Linked DNA regions of Schizosaccharomyces pombe. The gene in region 2 interacts genetically with the main gene of each other region. Each region holds a gene or a part of one and is shown on either strand. Other genes may lie near its edges.

Region 1 (4,528 bases), 460 kb from region 2:
TAGTTAAAAACCGAGTGACACTAACGTGAACAAGCTGGGTCCGTACAAAACATATGAGATATAGAAATTGAAAAGGTATTGATAGTAACGAAAGGTCCTACACATAAGAACAAAACACAATCAAAACAACAAATTATTGCAAATAACACCATTAACATCCCACGTAAGATCGGTTATCGTAAATTTTATTTGAGACTTTTGCTGTATAGCTCAAGCATCGTATCCCAGTATACGAATCGTCAAACCGGATTTGCGATACAAAAGTTTAAAAAAATCTCACAAAAGAAAATTCCATTTTATTCCTCTCAAAATAATCATAAACGTGACTTTGAAGAGAGAAAAATATCATCTATTAAATTAAATCCTTTTCGTTTTACAAGAATCACATTATAGTTTAAAAGCATGAGCCCGATCACATGCACATCCGAAGTGAGTATGTAAACGATATAAGCATGAAAATCATGTCCTCAATTGAACACTAGGTCGTAAAAATGGATAATTCATTGAGATAATTTCACTCGTCGTTTTTATGTACAAAGTATAAATTTGCTTGAAAGCGCTTATTATCGTAAGGTAAATGAAACTTAATAAAACCCGAGACATAGCCAAAACAAGATTAATCAAAAGCAGGGAAAAACAAAAAATCCAAGACTAATTCTTTGTAAAAGTTCTGGATCCAATAGCACCGGTGTTTGATGGAGTAAGGCTTGCAAAATAATCGTTCATCGCACTACCGTTTAAAGTATTTGATGAATTAGTCGCATTGCGATCCAGTGGAGAGGAAACATTTAAATTAGCAAAAGGAGTAGCAAGTTCTAACGGAGTAGCTGGCATACTACGTATGTCGGAAAAGGCTTTAGAATCATTTAGTCCTCTGAGAGAACGTATGCTATCCGCAAGATGCATAGAGGGAGCGGGTCGTCTAAGACTTGAAAAATTACTAGAAAGACCACCGGACGAGAAAAGACCATTGTCAAATAAACCAGAGGAGCTCAAGTGATTTGCAAGACTTGGTTGGCTCAAATTGGAAGCACCTAAAGAAGAAGGATTTAAAGTACTGGCGTTTGGGGCCATCAAAGGAGAGTGGTTAGCACTCGAATTATTAGCGGGAGTAAAATGAGTACTAGGCATGGTAATAACCACTTGCTTAGCTTCACCGTCACCAGTAACTGAATGATTGAGATTGAGACGGGAAGCTAATAAGGCAGCAACCCGACGTTCTTCCTGGGTGGTTGAAGAATCAAATACAAGATCATTAGTGTTATCGCTGCGATAATAAAATAACAAGATATGAGAATATACATTGAGTATAGCTGGATCATTCAAATCAAAATCAATGCCAGCACCTATATTGGCAACAGAAAACGGAGATTTCAATTGATTTTTTCGTTCTTCTACAGCGCGTTTCTCTTGTTTACCACGCTCAACACGTTCACGCTCCGCAGGCGGTAGTTGACGCTTCCATTCAACACGAAGACGACGACCAGTAATTTCATAGCCATTCAAAACTTGCACAACCGTTTTGGCTTCCTCTGGAGAATGGAAATTAGCAAAGGCAAGGCCCCTAAAAACTCCGTTATCAAAATGATAATTAAAAGCGTATGGACGTGGGATGTCTAATGCAGTGAACACTTTAAACAACACTTCTTTCTTCAAGGAGAATGGAATATTTTTAATAACAATCGCGGTAGGAATGGTCTCTTCATCAGGTTCAGGGGGTGCCGTCAAAGTTACAGAGTTGCTCATACCTCTAGACAGAGCAGTGCTAGAAGCTGAGTTTGGTACATGTGAATGGGATGGTTCGTTGAATGCATTTAAACTATCAAAAGGGTATGTTGTTGAGGAAAGTAATGAGGTAGTAGCAGGTCCAGAATTTTTGAGTACATCTAAAGCACTTGCAGACCGGAGAGAAAGGCCTGCTGAATTAGTTGCTTCTTTCCAAGCAGTTTGAAGACGAGTTCGACGAGGCTTTGCAGATGGATTATTGGCAGTTGAAATTTCAGGATCCAGCATTTGTTTAAGGGAACTTGGTAAAACCGTAGAAGAACCATCACCCAAACCATCATCTGCATTGTTGTGGGAAAATATGCCAGACCCTCCCATTCCAGCACTGTTAACGGCTGCATCAGAAAACGTAAACTTATCACGACCATATCGGTTCTCGAGATATCCTGATCCTCCAGGAATATTAAGACCTCTCATTTCTTCATCTTGAGCTCCATTTAATTCATCTAATTTGGGGAAAAAGTTGGACCGTTTTCTACGCAGAGATGCAGCCTCAGAATGGAAAGTTAAAGGGGAAGAAGCAGGAGAAAGAGTATTAGTTGACAAAAATGCCTGCGACAAAGGCGTTAATGGCCTTTGGCTTGTGCCCTCAGCCATATCGACACTAAACAAGTCGTAACTTCGTGTGGTGCGGAGGTTAGGTATCCGTGGACACCACCAAGGGCGCAAAGTCAATATACTACACCATATTATTGAGGTCTTAAACCCATAAATTCAAATATACCAATCTATAGAAGCAAATGTAAAAATAATTATTATAAAATGTATATACTACATACTGGTGTTGATTTTTAAACCCCCACTAGGTAACTTTTTGCCAGGCAAATAACAGGGTACTGTGATGATAAAACCGAAAGTCCATCTAAGAGCTCTTAAAAACACTGCTGCAATGATAAAGACTATTAAACTGTCTAATAATTCGACCACCTAAAACAGAACAAAATGAAAGTCCTAATTTTTTGTTTTTACTTAAATTCTTGTAAATTTATATTTTTATTAATTTGATATTCCATGAAATATCATTCGAATTTTAGCATATTAGATTATAGAATGAAATATGTGAAAAATATCTTCAGTGAACCTTAGGATCCAAAAGCTTCTCTCCCACAAGTTCTATTTTTGGTACCCTAGCAAATCCCATTGCAATATGACATAGAAAAAATTTAAATAAACTTGCATAAAAAGAATACCTTGCTCGATAACTCATATGGAAACTTCACAACCTTTATTAAAAAGAATGAATCATATTATTACAGTTTCGTCTATTTAATCCCTTTATTTCCAAAACCTCAATCCAAGTTTTCATTTATCTTTGCAAAAATTCATCTTCCAAATCACCACCAGTTGAACTTTTTTCCTGTACAGGAACCCTGTTGGAACCTGAAGATGGTATTTTGTGTTTTCTGCCACTATTAAAGCGTTCTTCCATCTCGGCCCAAATGCGATTTCGAGTTTCTTCGGTCTGTTCAGATGTGCCTTCTGCGTAGAGTGAAACATACTTTGTTAAAGGGGGGTATTCCTAAATAGGTTAGTATCTTAGCCAAGTTGATAGTTGAAATGAAGTCGAAAATACAAACATACTTTAATATACATAAGATCAATTTGACATTTACGCATCGATTTCTCACACTGCTTGCGTTTCTCATCATCCATAGTTTCATCCTTCAAAGATTTTTCCAATTGTTTAATACGTCGTTCTGCTTTTTTACGTTCTGAGAAAATCAGTAAGCAAGTTCACTGAACAAAAAATGCTGTTTTTATATATGTTTCATACCAAAAAATCGAACTTTTTTGTATCTTTCAAAAATCTTTTGCTTTTTATGCTCTAACTGTGCCATAGACAACTGCTCTTGTAGACCCAAAAGAGCTCGTTCATGTTCAACACGAATGTTTGCAGGCAAATTCTCCTTAAAGGAAGTTAGTTTTCTTATTCATTAACATAAAAAGGAAGGTAATATTTATTACACACTGAAACCGCAGATGTTTTTAAACCAGCAAAAAAATTACACACCTTTTTCAATAATCTCTCATTGTCGCGAATTTTTTTCTTCAGCACAGAAAGTCCAGGGCCCTTAAATTTTGGCATGCTAAAACGCTCAATAAAATAGATAAATAGAAATTCAAACCATAAACAATTAGTTCTGGTGAAGAACAGTAGTAAACTTAAAGGACTGCAATTTTTACAGCTGCTAGGTTCTCAAGTGACACGTTACTTTTATATATAAGTTTAAGCTGGTAATTATGATTAAAATATTTGATTCACTCACACTTATTCAAGGTAGATTTATATGTTGTACTTGTGGAGTGATTTAAAAGCTTAGACTTTCAACAGTACATCAAAGAATCGCTTGTTCGACACCGAAGTCACCCTAGAGATTAAAAAGTATGCAAAAGATAGTTAATCTAGCAACCGGTCTGTATTTTAATACTACTATTGTTAAGAGAATCATCAATAGCAAAAAGAAAACCTTTGAATTTGACAGCCTCTTTTCAGTCCGTTGTTAAGGCATTTCTGTTAGCTATCGTTAAGCAAATTAGTGCTAAACGTTATGTTTGACGAGTGGTTGAGATTGAAGAACGCTTCGATCAAGCTCTGTTTAATGTTTATGCAGTATTTTGGGCGTTTCTGGTAAAGCCTAATTGTCAAATTTCTCTTTAGAGAATGTTAAATAGAAGTAAAAAGAGGAATGGCTGTTATTTTTGGGTTAACGGCTCCTCAGATGAGATTCGATATGTCGCCGTC
Region 2 (4,528 bases):
CAACTAAATATCCTTTTTCCTTGCAATGGAGGACAAAATGATACCATAAAGCATGTTTAGCAAGGACTTTTGGATTACCGAGAACAATTACACCATACTTTGCTCGAGTCAATGCAACGTTCAACCTTCTTGGATCGTTAACAAAACCAATACCTTGGTGTTCACTAGAACGTACACACGACAAAATAATGAAGTCCTTTTCTCTTCCTTGGAACGCATCCACCGATGCTACTTCAACAGCTTTATAAAGATCCTTCTGCATTGATCCGTTATTTTGCATGTACTGAACAATATAGGAACGCTGACCATCATATGGAGTAACAATACCAATTTGCTCAGGAAGCACGTTGCTTCTTAAAAATGTGGTAACAATTTTTTCACACGTTGAGGCTTCCGTTCTGTTTAAAAATGATGTACCGCTAGCCGACAGCTCTTCCTGACCGAAATTTGCATAAAACATTAATGGCGAATCAGGTTGTATCCATGGAAAATCAACATGTCTAGCAATACGCTCAGAAGTAGTGACACCATTTTGAAGAGTACCTTCATAAAAAGTGTTCGATGGAAATTCTGAAAGACAGGGATGCATACGATATTGCACAACTAATCTGAAAGGAGAGTTTCCTAATATAATCAGTCGCTCAAAAAGTGATTGGGAAAGGCTAGCTAATGCAACCTTTTTATTCATAACAACCGGTCCCAGTTGTTGGTGATCACCAACAAGTACTACTTGTTTGGCGCCTAAAACTAAAGGAATCATGCATTCAGGTTCTGAAGCCTGTGTAGCTTCGTCAATAAGTACTGAACGAAATTTGTACTTGGAAATCCTTCTATCACCAGCACCAACACAAGTACAACAAATGACATGAGCCGCACGTAATAGTTCTTTTTCGGCAGCAGCAACCAAAATACGCAGTTTTTTTTCATCCTGAATAGATAATTCGTTATTTTCACTTCGTAGCTTCAATAAACGTTGTAACTCTGGATTAAACTTATAGTTTTTAATTTGCTCATGAAGAGATAAAAAGGAAACCGATGATTCTATGTCTTCTCTAGACTTTGCGGCAACTCGAACGACACGAAGTCCTGTACGATGTATTTTTTCAGCAAGTTGGTCAACAGCAACATTCGAAGGTGCACAAACTAATACGGGAGAATGGGATTTACGCTTGCGTGATTGCATCGTGGCCAGGTGATAGACTACAGATGCTGAGGTGACAGTTTTTCCAGTACCTGGCGGCCCTTGAATTAACGAGAGTGGCTTACTTAATACTGCACGAACAGCTTCGCTCTGACTAGCATTCAATTTTGGCAGATTAGGCACCGATAAATCAGACGGTAATTTTGGTTTCAGGAAGGAAGGAGGGATATCGTGTCCTAGCAATTTATGATACAAAAAGCTTGAAAGACGTGATCCGTCTGTAGCAAATAACCTCAAAGCAGTCTGCATTCGATCAAATGAAGTAGATTTCCAAACATAATCGACGGAAAAATTATGAGTACATTCGATAGGTACTTTATCTGAACGCTTCAGTTCTAAACCTACCTCATCTGAAACGTTGTTAGGAATTTTAATAACATATCCTGTGGAGCTCCAGGGTGCTCTTAGTTCTCCTTCATATGTAAGCTTCATTTCATCTCCTATGGCCAACCGAATTTCACCAGATTCAAGTTTGGGAAGGAGAAACCAAGCAGTATATCGTTTATTGATAGCTTGATCCCACCGAACCACAACATCTTTTTGAGTCTGCGATTCTTTGAGTCGTTTATCATAGTCAGCCTCCGCTTGAATGAGCGGAGAAAGAACTGCTTGATACGCGTGAGCATCTTTATATCGAAGTTCTACTGAAGGTAATGAATCATCCTCAATGGGCTTATCCAAGTCTTCGAGGTTAGCATTAGGGTCTTTACGCCAAAGTTCTTCAAGCCTAACCATTTGCTGTGAAGTGATTGGGATTGCAAGCTTTTGTTCCTCTTCGGATGGAGGAGTTATCAACCATGGAAGAAACTGACGATCTGAAATAATGGGTTGCCATTGAGTCAAGTCCCAGTTCATATCCTTAGCTATGCTAGCTCTAGCACAAGGTTGTCGGCATAATAAAACAACCACTGTCTTAGCTTTTGCTGGTATAAATCCTAATAGAAACACATTTCTCGTTCCACAATTATAACACTCAAGTACTGTGTCTGAAAGAGAAGAATGGCTATGTAAAGCAACCTGCTTATGTCGAGCACGAACTAGGTGACTAATGATATGCGAAGCTCCAGATTTCCCTCTTACATTACAAAACCATTTATTACAATGCAAACATTTCAATATAGAATTTGGATTCTTTATGTGGCAATAGGCACAGTGTTCTTCAGAATATTGTTTTTCGACTAATAATTCTTCAAATTGATGCTCTAGTCCATTTTCAGAAGTCATATTTTTTGAACTAACTAAAGATGAAATATCATTATTAGGTTGTAGCCCTAAAGACATGGAAAGACAACTTGATATGTTATTAAGCCGTCAATTTGCAAAGTGTAAATAATTGTAACACATTTTTAGAAAGAAAGGTTAGTCATTTAGTGAGGTTTAATGAGTTAAAATGTGCTGCTAGGAAGCTCCCTAAAACGTAAACAAAAAACGCCGTTAATGGGAAAAACTAACAATAGCAAGACTCATTTACTTGTAAGATATTATATCTATTCAGGGTAGATAAATTTTGTCAGTTTCGAGATGATCATTTACGTTCTTGAAACAGCTGGTCGTACTATAGATTACTAAATAAGGTAGAGCACTGTAGTATTGTGACACAAATCGGTGCTCACTATTGGAATTAAACAAAATTATATAAACGGTTGCTGAGACCATGTAAACAATCATATTGAAGACTATTAATTTTTTGACTAACAGTTGTCGAAAAGTAATAAACAGATATTTTTAACTTAATATCGGACTCTATACAAATTTATTAACATGAGAGTTGTATCTACTCGCTCTGGAAGTTAGCATACCAAGTGTACCGTTACCCATTTTGAACTTTTCAAGGAGTGTGTTACTTCCACCTATACAACAACTGCCCGTGTGAAACTATCCAAATTGAAATAATTTTAAGAATTTCAGGCCTCTTAATTGTCTGAACTTCTTGGAGTTTATGTGGTGCTTAGCGGCAAACTCTTCATGAACTGAAGAGGCTTCAAAGAGGGGACTTCGAATGCTGCGTTTAACAAGTTGATTTACTTGTAAGTATTTGTTCTCCAAATCCGGGTTTAATTCCTTCTTTTAAAATTATTTTTCGTTTCACAACATTTCATTTTTCCCCACCCTGGTTTAAGCAGCTAGTGCCTTTAATTATTTGATTTTTCTACTTTCTTTACGTTAATCAACTTCGACAACAATTATAAATGGTGGGGTTAATAAGTACAAGCGAAACGCTGCCTAAACAGGAGAGTAAAAGTTCCTCAGCCCCAGTGTCTAATTTCCTTTCTCCTAATAATCTGACTGAACAGACATGCAGTCCTCTAAGAGCTCATTCTACTTTTAAAGAGCCCGTATTTCTGTTATCGCAACGCCAATATTCACACAATAGCAAAATACTTACAGAATTAATAAATAGTGTGAAAAGGCCTAACAAGCCCGATCAAAATGAAGAAAAATCGGCTGTTGGAATAGAAGAGAAGTCCTTTAAAGATGAACACTTGGCACAGAAAAAAGGATTGCATCATTTTGCAGATCTAAAAGAAATCTTTCTGAATAAAAATTTGAGTACTTTGGATGGTTTACAAGATGCATCGCTTCATGACAACATACAGAGTGGAAAATTAGACAACCCAGTTATATCTCAAAACCGTCGCATTGTACTAGAAAAGCTTGCTAATCCCAATTCCAGCAAAGAATATGAAACCATCCCTACAGTCGAAAACCGACATCCACTCAACAAATTAAGCAAGACAAAAACTTTAGCTTACGAAGAAACTATTAATCAGCTAGATGAAACCCCAGGAGGAACGAATTATCCCATGAACAAAAAAAAAACATTATCTTCTGAAACTAACAAATATGAATATCCACAACAATCGAAATTCCATGAATGTTCTCAATTTGCTTCACCACGGTCTTCTATAGTAAATGGACCCAGAACCCTCGGAAAAAATTCTAAAAGAGCTGATGATACTGCAAGAATGGCTTCGCGAATGAAACCATCCAATTTTAATAATAATATTCAGAGCAGTTCATACGGACATGCATCACAATCTACGAAATTAACGTCCCAAAGAGACAATGATCATCAAAAAGATCTCAACTTTAGTCCATATAAAAGTATTCCTTTAAATAATAGGCCTTATTCTCCTATGTCAGAAATTGTTGGTTTTTCTGGTTCTACAACTCCTCTGGACACTTATGGTAACAGACCAAGTGGTAAGAAGTTTAACAAAAATTCGAAATTTCGCCCTCCAGGTTCAACAATTTCTAGTTATTCATCCGCTTCTACGTTACGTAGACTTCCGAGGGCTCCCGGTTCAAAAGTTCATGCAGAAAGAC

Evidence for each region. Genes that interact genetically often act in the same process or in processes that back each other up.
Region 1: of upf1 (region 2) and cip2, a mutation in one rescues a mutant of the other (synthetic rescue), as found in Schizosaccharomyces pombe (one study listed by BioGRID).

What each region holds. Positions count from the first base shown.
Region 1 is NC_003424.3:342,748-347,275, forward strand, and holds the start of cip2 (RNA-binding protein Cip2), read right to left. Parts: upstream 2,425-4,528; 5' UTR 2,383-2,424; coding exon 652-2,382; 3' UTR 1-651. Other genes in the region: efg1 (rRNA-processing protein), read right to left, coding at 3,092-3,304, 3,367-3,497, 3,560-3,692, 3,797-3,871; GATOR2-SEACAT complex ubiquitin-protein ligase E3 subunit Sea4, read left to right, coding at 4,448-4,528. UniProt on the Schizosaccharomyces pombe protein: Regulates global gene expression after oxidative stress. Interacts and stabilizes mRNAs and may regulate their transition between different cytoplasmic components after oxidative stress.
Region 2 is NC_003424.3:801,606-806,133, forward strand, and holds the start of upf1 (ATP-dependent RNA helicase Upf1), read right to left. Parts: upstream 2,529-4,528; 5' UTR 2,483-2,528; coding exon 1-2,482. Other genes in the region: DYRK family protein kinase Pom2, read left to right, coding at 3,391-4,528. UniProt on the Schizosaccharomyces pombe protein: RNA-dependent helicase required for nonsense-mediated decay (NMD) of aberrant mRNAs containing premature stop codons and modulates the expression level of normal mRNAs. Also capable of unwinding double-stranded DNA and translocating on single-stranded DNA.